Saccharomyces cerevisiae S288C: one gene and its partners. Changing the gene in region 2 together with the main gene of any one other region gives a genetic interaction. Each region holds a gene or a part of one and is shown on either strand. Other genes may lie near its edges. The genes, in order: HXT15, POS5 and TKL2.

The links.
Region 1: mutations in POS5 (region 2) and HXT15 together harm fitness less than expected from each alone (positive genetic interaction), as found in Saccharomyces cerevisiae (one large-scale study listed by BioGRID).
Region 3: mutations in POS5 (region 2) and TKL2 together harm fitness more than expected from each alone (negative genetic interaction), as found in Saccharomyces cerevisiae (one large-scale study listed by BioGRID).

The regions. Positions count from the first base shown.
Region 1 is NC_001136.10:11,546-15,304, reverse strand, and holds HXT15 (hexose transporter HXT15), read left to right. Parts: upstream 1-1,944; coding exon 1,945-3,648; downstream 3,649-3,759. UniProt on the Saccharomyces cerevisiae protein: Probable glucose transporter.
Region 2 is NC_001148.4:189,853-193,308, reverse strand, and holds POS5 (NADH kinase), read right to left. Parts: upstream 1,904-3,456; coding exon 659-1,903; downstream 1-658. Other genes in the region: GUP2 (putative O-acyltransferase), read right to left, coding at 2,326-3,456. UniProt on the Saccharomyces cerevisiae protein: Phosphorylates both NADH and NAD(+), with a twofold preference for NADH. Anti-oxidant factor and key source of the cellular reductant NADPH.
Region 3 is NC_001134.8:474,623-478,381, forward strand, and holds the start of TKL2 (transketolase TKL2), read right to left. Parts: upstream 1,816-3,759; coding exon 1-1,815. Other genes in the region: TEF2 (translation elongation factor EF-1 alpha), read left to right, coding at 3,049-3,759. UniProt on the Saccharomyces cerevisiae protein: Catalyzes the transfer of a two-carbon ketol group from a ketose donor to an aldose acceptor, via a covalent intermediate with the cofactor thiamine pyrophosphate.

The DNA of each region.
Region 1 (3,759 bases), on a different chromosome or scaffold from region 2:
CAGTGTAAACATATGTGTGATGGACATCAGCATTCAATGTATATCTTATCACACCAGTTTATCCAAAGATAGATGCAGTTTTGAAATTGGTTACTTAGAATATTTCTACTACATTTCGATAACAAATATAACTATTTTGAATTTAAAAGTTGAGTATCCAAAAATTTTAGAAATACATACAATTACTTCCCAATTACTTCCCAAATATTCTCCCCCCTGGTTTGATATCATAAAAGCACCTTATGGCAACAAGATTCCCGGGATAGTAATGCTATTTTAATGTATATCTATTTCTCGAATACTTGTATCTTTACTCCACTACCCCTATGCAAGAAGATAAGCGATAGTTTTTGTTCCTTCCTCTTCCTACTCTGTTAATTAACTGAAAATTATTTATATTGAAAAGGTACTTGTAGCAAATTAGACAAGGAATTCTCCTGGTATAAAGTTAGAGAAACAGAAATATGAAACGGCCACCCCAGGTATGAAATATTATCTTAAGAAGAGCCATGAACACACATGAATAGATTCTTGAGACATGCTTAGGGTAACAAAGACTGTAACGCCTTGTTGCAATACTGCTTTATTCAAATTTTTAAATTGTACGGAATTGTGGTAAGGAGAATGTGCAAATAACTTAGCATGAAACGGTGCTATAGTTGAATCATTGTATGAGGTAACATCACTTCAACGAAAAGAAGAATAAAATTGACCTGCACATGGAGAAAGCGTAATATATAAAAAATGTTTACAATTTTGGCGCACTATATGGGAGAACAGCTGCTGGATAATATTATGCCCTTACTTCATTTCACCATATCCGTTTACAGTTCAAATCTCGCCGTCGAGCCATAAATTCTCAAAATTCCTTTGCAAATATTTTGCTTACCTGTAACCGGCAGCTTACATTCTTCCGTCATAATTTCTCAGACGGATGACATAAACCATTTTTTCAGAATCCTCGATAACATAATCGATCAAAACAGTAATAAACATTCTCTTGCACAAAATGGACTTTGGCAGCAAATCCTGAAATATTGTGGAGTATTGCCAGAGGTAAAAGCAACGTTGAACAAATTATGACACTAGACCTCTTAGGCATAAAGATGACATCATCTAGGTACTCGTAAAGATCCTAACCACAGATTCCACCTTAAAAGACGACAATAGTAACTTTGTCCTTGATCTGGGTTACTAAATCAGCGATATGATCATTAAAGTGAATATCCCCTTCTTAAAATGTACCAAATATCTTATACGTTTGCAGTTTTTCTTTTTCTTTTTCTTTATTTCTTTGGTAAGGACTAGGTAATTATTTCCGTATTTGGCTCCTTTGGCGCTTAAAAAATCTTGTACGCAAATTTCCACAAGATATTGCGTGACAATTACTATTACTGAAGTTGAACTTGTTTCATGTCTCCGCCTGTGTTAACTCCGTTTTGCTTAACTCCGTCTCGTATTACAGTAAATTCATGATGTGCCTATGAATATGCAGCTAGCCTGCTGCAGGCAAAATTATTTTTAGCTTTGTGCGCTACAGTGGTAGTAACTTAAAACTTAAAAGCTAAAATGCAAAAACAGTAGAGTGCGGGGTATGCTTTTCTTTTGAACGTGCACTGCGCAGAGGCACAATTTAGCAAAGAAGTCAGGCAAGGTAGATGATGTAAACAAACGAGGACTTGTACTGCGCATCTTGAACCTTTCAATATCATAAGTGCAATCAGCTAAAGGTTTGATTTTCCGAATGCTCTGCAAAAAAGTTAAACATGGTTATATAACTCAAGTATGATAACTCCAGTGTTGGCCTGTAATCACCAACTTTCAAACGTATAAAGAAAGTAAGTAATTCATTGTTTGCTTCAGGTTTAGTCTTATTACTATCCATAGAAGTAAAACTATTGATATTATTGACAGAAAAGGAGGAAAGGAAACTAAAGGAAAAAAATGGCAAGCGAACAGTCCTCACCAGAAATTAATGCAGATAATCTAAACAGTAGTGCAGCTGACGTTCATGTACAGCCACCCGGAGAGAAAGAATGGTCAGACGGGTTTTATGACAAAGAAGTCATTAATGGAAATACGCCAGACGCACCGAAGAGAGGCTTTTTAGGTTACCTTATTATCTACTTACTATGCTATCCTGTATCCTTTGGCGGTTTTTTACCTGGTTGGGATAGTGGTATTACTGCAGGCTTCATCAATATGGATAACTTTAAAATGAATTTTGGTTCTTACAAGCACAGTACTGGTGAGTATTATTTGAGCAACGTGCGTATGGGTCTTCTCGTGGCCATGTTCAGTGTAGGATGTTCCATTGGCGGTGTTGCTTTTGCGAGACTTGCTGATACTTTAGGTAGAAGGCTAGCAATTGTAATCGTGGTTTTGGTATATATGGTTGGTGCAATTATTCAGATCAGTTCGAATCACAAATGGTACCAATACTTTGTCGGTAAGATCATCTACGGTCTTGGTGCTGGTGGCTGTTCGGTGTTGTGTCCAATGCTTTTATCTGAAATAGCCCCCACAGATTTGAGAGGTGGACTTGTCTCATTGTACCAACTTAACATGACCTTCGGTATTTTCTTGGGTTATTGTAGCGTTTATGGAACAAGGAAGTATAGTAATACTGCGCAATGGAGGATTCCTGTGGGACTATGCTTTCTGTGGGCTCTAATTATCATCGTTGGCATGTTATTAGTTCCAGAGTCCCCAAGATATCTGATTGAATGTGAGAGACATGAAGAGGCCTGTGTCTCCATCGCCAAGATCAACAAGGTTTCACCAGAGGATCCATGGGTACTCAAACAGGCTGATGAAATCAACGCCGGTGTCCTTGCCCAAAGAGAACTAGGGGAAGCCTCATGGAAAGAACTTTTCTCCGTCAAAACAAAAGTCCTTCAACGTTTGATCACAGGTATTCTTGTGCAAACCTTTTTGCAACTTACTGGTGAAAACTACTTCTTCTTCTACGGAACTACCATTTTCAAATCAGTTGGGCTTACTGATGGGTTTGAGACTTCGATCGTCCTAGGTACAGTGAATTTCTTCTCCACTATTATTGCTGTTATGGTCGTAGACAAAATAGGCCGTCGTAAATGTCTGTTATTCGGAGCGGCTTCAATGATGGCTTGTATGGTCATATTTGCAAGTATCGGGGTAAAATGTCTTTACCCTCATGGCCAGGATGGTCCATCCTCGAAAGGTGCAGGTAATGCCATGATTGTGTTCACATGCTTCTATATATTCTGCTTTGCAACGACATGGGCCCCTGTTGCTTATATTGTGGTTGCCGAGTCATTCCCTTCGAAGGTCAAATCTAAAGCAATGTCAATTTCGACTGCATTCAACTGGTTATGGCAATTCTTGATTGGTTTTTTCACACCATTCATTACTGGGTCTATCCACTTCTATTATGGTTATGTGTTCGTAGGTTGTTTGGTTGCTATGTTTTTGTACGTTTTCTTCTTTTTACCAGAAACAATTGGTCTATCTTTGGAGGAAATCCAGTTACTATATGAAGAAGGTATAAAACCATGGAAATCTGCATCTTGGGTACCACCCTCAAGGAGAGGAGCTTCTTCCAGGGAAACTGAGGCTAAGAAGAAAAGCTGGAAAGAAGTTTTGAAGTTCCCAAAGAGTTTTAATTGATCAATATGCGCGCTTGATAAACATGCTAAGAGATAAATTCTTGAAAAAAAATAGGGCCTACTGTAAAACGAAGTGACACGTAATTTCAAATTTAATCAACAAAAAACTACG
Region 2 (3,456 bases):
GTTCTATTGAAGGACTAATTAGGAAAGTTAATTGGATTTTGTTAAATAATTGCACAAATAGTTGTTGGATATTGCATCAGAATTATGCAGATTACCAAAGAGAACGGGATGTCTATTTAGCGCATTTATTCCTAATTCGGAAATTATTGAAATCCACACTACTTAATAGTGCTGCACCATTTATCTCATAATTATTGCCTACGCTAATGAAAGCAAATCTTATTCCGACTTCAAATTGGATCTCTCCTCAAGAAAAGAAGCTCAATGACCTATTAGAGTATGAATACTTGTAAAACAAATGAACAGCGAGTGCTTGTTTAACTTTTTTTTTTTTTTTTTTTTGATTTTAGGAATTGATACGAAACATAGTCTCTCTCCATTTTCTCCCACAACAGGACTGCAGTAAGGATGTTATTATTAATAATATATATATTATATAATTATATCTTCTTGTTAAGCATGTCTTCCCTATATGTCACAGTTTTCTTAAAGCAATAGAATAAAAGACACAATACCAAAAATTTCATGTCGAGTATGTCAGTTGAGATTTCTCTAGACAAAATGCAAGAAAAAATAAAGATCTCTACTTGTCAAATACCTTTAAATCTTATCAATAGAATTCTTAGAGAATCTCATTGAATCTTTGCATTCAGAGCGTTTAATCATTATCAGTCTGTCTCTTGGTCAGCCTAAAGCTAGAATTGAATCCTAAAAGTTCATTGATTCCTCTAATCCAGTCATTCTCGGTCTTGGCGACACAATAAATCCCTGACCTTTTAGGCTTTTTTGAATTATTAAAGTCATTTTCAGTTTTTCTTGTCGTCGGAAGCTGAGTACCATCTATGTATATAGTGCCGACCTCATTTATAACATAAATTTCATCACCAACATCTAAATCCTGTTGAGGAATACCATCAACAGAAAGTTTTACCACACTGTTGACTGGTTTTTGGTTCAATTTGGAACCTATCTTTATCCTAATGTGGGATGAATGAGGCAAAATCAGTGGTCGGAATGACAAAGAGCGAGGACAAATTGGTGTCATTAAAATAGCAGGGACTAATGGGGAAACAATAGATCCACCTGCTGATAATGAATATGCTGTGGAACCCGTTGGAGTGGCCAATGCAACACCATCTGCTGTCGTTCTTGTCAAAAATTCCCCATCAATGAAAATGTCCAGGTTAGTGAGATGAGGGGAATTACCCCTATGTAAGAATATGTCATTCATAGCATGGGTCACAATAGATGAGTTGCTATCCTTTTTTTTCAAATGACATTCTAGCCGTGTTCTATGCAAACATTTGGCTCTAGAGCTGATTACTTCCTGAAAGACCTTTTTATGCTCCTTAAAATCAAACGGTGATAGAAAGCCCAGAGTGCCCAGAGCAAATGCTAAAACCGGAGGAACTTGCGTATTTCCGAACATTGATACGCCGTGTAAAATAGTCCCATCACCTCCCAATGTCACCAATAAGTCTGTTCTGTTTACGATATCTTGTTCAGGACCAGTATAAAGTATATGAGGTCGGTTGGGATCATTCTCCAAAGGAGATTTGAAATCCTGGGAAATTTCTTCTGCCACATCGGGTTGAACAATGACGTTCACCTCGGGGTATGACTCATGTAAATGAGTTATGAATTCAACCATCGCTTCTCTTGTGGATGGAGTCCATGGTTTTTTAGTTATATAAACATTTTGTAAAGGGTTCTGCCAGATTAAAGATTGTAATTTGGAATTTGGTGGGGACACGAAATCTGCTGATGAACTACTCCTCAAGTTATTTACTGGCTTTATTTTTACAAACTTCGAGCCGCTCTGTAACTTTAGGGAATGTGAATCCAACGTACTATAGAACCTATACCATTTTACTGGTTTATTCAATTTAACCCTGACAAACATTTTAATCAGTATCCTTAACCTTTTTATCCTTTTATTTATGAAACAGCGAATAATGAATACTTAGTCTTCTCCTGCCTTTTTTTATTTTTATTTTTTTTTCAATTTGGAGATTTCGGAAAATTGTGAAAATGTGTGAAAAGCACAAAGAAGAGTTGAGAACTGTGGAAGTTTCTTAAAAGTCGCAACTTAGTGATGCATATAGATACATGCAGCATTTCTGACAGTTACAGTTTTCAATAGCCATTGTGTGATTTAAATAGTGCATTGTTCTTTGTAACAATCTTGCAGTTAGTTTTACTTCGGTGAACTTAAATTTAAATTACTTGTAACGCATATATAGTACTTTGGTTAAAATTGTGTATTCCACATATTTACATTCTCGATTAAAAGGATTGACTTTCATAGCTTATCTAATAACTAGATCAACATTTCAAGTTGATGCCATGTCTTTTTTCTTCTTCTCTAATCTCAAACATTACCTGAACAGCAATAAATAGGCTTACCATTACCGCAGTCAAAAACTCCGGACTATGTGAATTGTTAAATATGCCCTTCAATAGAAGCTTCGTTCCCTCTGCACCCAAGCAAAATCCATAGACATTAATAATCATCATCATGCAAATATTTATTGCAGCACCGATACCGCAAACAAACCTGTACCAGCTTCTGAATCTATATCTACTAAAACAGTTAGTAATGTAGGTTTCGCCTAATAATAAAAGGACTGTTAACCACCCCCAAAACAACACTCGTAATTGGATGTCATGCCATATTGCTACAAATGAGAATACGGCAAAGCTCGTTAATATTTTGTTATTGGACCCGCCAAATGGAACATAGATGTAACGGATTACCCACTTGTTAAAACTTGTATGCCAGGCTCTCCAGAATCCCACTGTACTATAATTATTATCCACACATCGTAGCATATTTTCAGGTGCATCAATACCATCGACCATGGCCCACAGCCGAAAGAGCCTCCATGGGATCAAAAGTTTTAAATACATAATGTTCAAGTTGAACAGCGCGATCATAGCCTGTTGCAAGGGTGTATCATTGTTCCATGCCTTGGTCCTTGCTATTGCACCCACATAGATATAATGTAGGATAATTTCCATCAAAAGCAAACTCGAAAATACTTTGAGGGCATAGAAGCCTATGTTTTTTTTCGTTAGCGAAGGAAGCTTATTTTCTGATTGATAAAGGTAGTCATTAAAAGTGATAATTGGGCCCACTAAAAACAATGGCGCGTAAGTAATATAAGCGATAAAATTGATAAAGTTGTAATCCTGGATGTGATGTTCTGCTACCAGTCGTTCCTTTTCCTCCAGAACATTCTTACCTGACTCATAAATGGTTTGTAGAGTAGAACCAGATAAACTTTTTCTGAATTCAGGTCGTCTATCATCGTAATCTATCGAAGGTTGGCGGCTCAATTGTTCATGCCATCTTTCCAAAAAATCCATGGAGTAACTTAACAAACGCAATAATGTAAAATTGAAAAAAAAATCCCATCGAGGAACGATACCCTTATACCATTGATCCATGGGACT
Region 3 (3,759 bases), on a different chromosome or scaffold from region 2:
AGAGAATCTGTATTCTTCACTTTGCCTGTCAAAAGTATAAAAGTCTGGCAGGGAAACAACTCTTGCTTTGATTTTTTTAGTATCGTACAATTTTTTGGCTGCATCTATAGAAATGGAGACTTCTGATCCTGTTGACACCAGGATAATATCAGGATTCTCCACGTCATGGATCACATAGCCACCCTTCAAGGCTTTTTCAAAAGAGGAATGCTCCAATTGAGGAAGATTCTGTCGTGATAAAGCCACAACAGATGGTGTTCGACCAGATTTGATAGCAGAATAATACGCAGCAGAAGTTTCGTTACCATCAGCAGGTCTCCATACATGCATGTTTGGAATAGCCCTCAAGTGAGCCAGAGTTTCAATAGGTTGGTGCGTTGGACCATCCTCACCAAGCCCGATAGAGTCATGTGTTGCAACCCAAATGACTGGATTACCAGACAAGGCGGCTAACCTAACGGCTCCTGCAGCATAAGAGACGAAGTTCAAAAAGGTACCACCGTAAGGCTTGTAGTTTGCACCAAAGGCAGAGATACCGTTCATAATGGCACCCATTCCGTGTTCCCTCACACCGTATCTAATGTACCTTCCTGCATAGTTACCTAGTTGGGTAATGGGAGGTTGGAAATCTACCGCGCCTTCCCACCTTGTCAGATTCGAAGGTGTCAAATCGGCAGAACCACCGATCAATTCAGGCAAAACTTGGACCATGTTCGTCAGCACCTGCTGGGATGTCTTTCTTGTTGCCAGAGCATCGTCGTCCGGAGTAAACTTCGGTAAATGCTTTTCCCAACCTTCCGGTAACTCACCATTCAATCTTCTTTGCAATTCTTTACCCTTCTCGGGAAATTTGGTTTTGTATTCTTCAAACATCCTATCCCATTCCTCATTAAGTTTTTGACCGGGTTCCACAACAGTCTTCTTATAATAATCGTACACCTCTTGAGGTACTACAAATGATTTATTTGGGTCAAACCCCCACCTCTTCTTCAACTGTTTAACATCATCTGCCTTCAAAGCGGACCCATGAACACCAGCAGTACCCTGTTGTAGGGACCCAAATCCAATTGTAGTAGTTACCTTGATTATGGTTGGCTTGTCCTTCGATAGTTTTGCCTTTTCCAAAGCGCTAGAAATGGATTCCATATCGTCGTCTCCTTTATCGACTTCCATGACTTCCCAACCATATGCCTCGTATCGCTTCAAAACATCTTCGTCGAACGAGTACGAGGTTTTACCGTCAATGGAAATGCTATTACTGTCATAAAACGTAATCAAGTTACCCAATTGCAGATGTCCCGCTAAGGAAGAGGTCTCCGAAGAAACACCCTCTTGTAAGCAACCATCCCCTACAATAGCAAACGTATATGAGTCGGAAATGGGAAAGCCATCCTCGTTATAAGTGGCGGCAAAGTTGGCCTGCGCTATTGCCATACCAACAGCATTTGAGATACCCTGGCCTAGCGGACCGGAAGTGATTTCCACTCCCGCTGAGTGGAATTCTGGATGACCCGGTGTCCTTGAGTTTACTTGTCTAAATTGTCTCAAGTCCTCGATAGAGTAATCGTATCCTAATAGATGGAGCATTGAGTACAGAAGAGCGCATGAGTGACCGTTCGACAGAACAAACCTGTCTCTATTGATCCAATGTTCATTGTTAGGGTTACAGCGCAGTTGCTTGAAAATTACATGGGCAACTGGTGCCAATCCTAGTGGTGCACCTGGGTGGCCAGATTGTGCGCTTTCCACCTGGTCAACGGAAAGTAATCTTAAAGTGGAAACCGCAAGTTTATCAATGTCGGAGAACTGTGCCATTTTTTTGTTCTTTTTTTGATTAGTAAGGTATAATCGTCTACGTAGAGGTTACAAATCGAAGACTACAGTAAGAGGGGACAAGCCAATTGAATATACGACTGAAATAAATGGAATAATTCTGCATTATTACACTCGTTTATATATCCAAACAGGTGATCTGGTATTCTCTTGACAACGAATGAAGCTCCCTATATTCGACACTCCTTATTCAGGACTCCTCCCAACAAGGAGAAGTAGGTGTTCCTTGAGCTACCCTTTAAAGCTGGGGAGATGAGCTTGCCCTTCCTGTCATCGCCATTATGACGAGAAAAGTAAAACATGTAGAATAAGGTCCACCCAAACATGTCCGAGCAATGACGTTATATATCGTGTTCCCTGTTCAAAGCATGGCATATGTGCCATTAAAGGCGAATTTTTGTCCCTAGCAAAGGAGAGACAGCGAGCCACCATTAAGAAGTGACTTGAAAGCAAGCGAAAATAGCTACACATATATATCAATATATTGACCTATAAACCCAAAATGTGAAAGAAATTTGATAGGTCAAGATCAATGTAAACAATTACTTTGTTATGTAGAGTTTTTTTAGCTACCTATATTCCACCATAACATCAATCATGCGGTTGCTGGTGTATTTACCAATAATGTTTAATGTATATATATATATATATATATGGGGCCGTATACTTACATATAGTAGATGTCAAGCGTAGGCGCTTCCCCTGCCGGCTGTGAGGGCGCCATAACCAAGGTATCTATAGACCGCCAATCAGCAAACTACCTCCGTACATTCATGTTGCACCCACACATTTATACACCCAGACCGCGACAAATTACCCATAAGGTTGTTTGTGACGGCGTCGTACAAGAGAACGTGGGAACTTTTTAGGCTCACCAAAAAAGAAAGAAAAAATACGAGTTGCTGACAGAAGCCTCAAGAAAAAAAAAATTCTTCTTCGACTATGCTGGAGGCAGAGATGATCGAGCCGGTAGTTAACTATATATAGCTAAATTGGTTCCATCACCTTCTTTTCTGGTGTCGCTCCTTCTAGTGCTATTTCTGGCTTTTCCTATTTTTTTTTTTCCATTTTTCTTTCTCTCTTTCTAATATATAAATTCTCTTGCATTTTCTATTTTTCTCTCTATCTATTCTACTTGTTTATTCCCTTCAAGGTTTTTTTTTAAGGAGTACTTGTTTTTAGAATATACGGTCAACGAACTATAATTAACTAAACATGGGTAAAGAGAAGTCTCACATTAACGTTGTCGTTATCGGTCATGTCGATTCTGGTAAGTCTACCACTACCGGTCATTTGATTTACAAGTGTGGTGGTATTGACAAGAGAACCATCGAAAAGTTCGAAAAGGAAGCCGCTGAATTAGGTAAGGGTTCTTTCAAGTACGCTTGGGTTTTGGACAAGTTAAAGGCTGAAAGAGAAAGAGGTATCACTATCGATATTGCTTTGTGGAAGTTCGAAACTCCAAAGTACCAAGTTACCGTTATTGATGCTCCAGGTCACAGAGATTTCATCAAGAACATGATTACTGGTACTTCTCAAGCTGACTGTGCTATCTTGATTATTGCTGGTGGTGTCGGTGAATTCGAAGCCGGTATCTCTAAGGATGGTCAAACCAGAGAACACGCTTTGTTGGCTTTCACCTTGGGTGTTAGACAATTGATTGTTGCTGTCAACAAGATGGACTCCGTCAAATGGGACGAATCCAGATTCCAAGAAATTGTCAAGGAAACCTCCAACTTTATCAAGAAGGTTGGTTACAACCCAAAGACTGTTCCATTCGTCCCAATCTCTGGTTGGAACGGTGACAACATGATTGAAGCTACCACCAACGCTCCATGGTACAAGGGTTGGGAAAAGGAAACCAAGGCCGGTGTCGTCAAGGGTAAGACTTTGTTGGAAGCCATTGACGCCATTGAACAACCATCT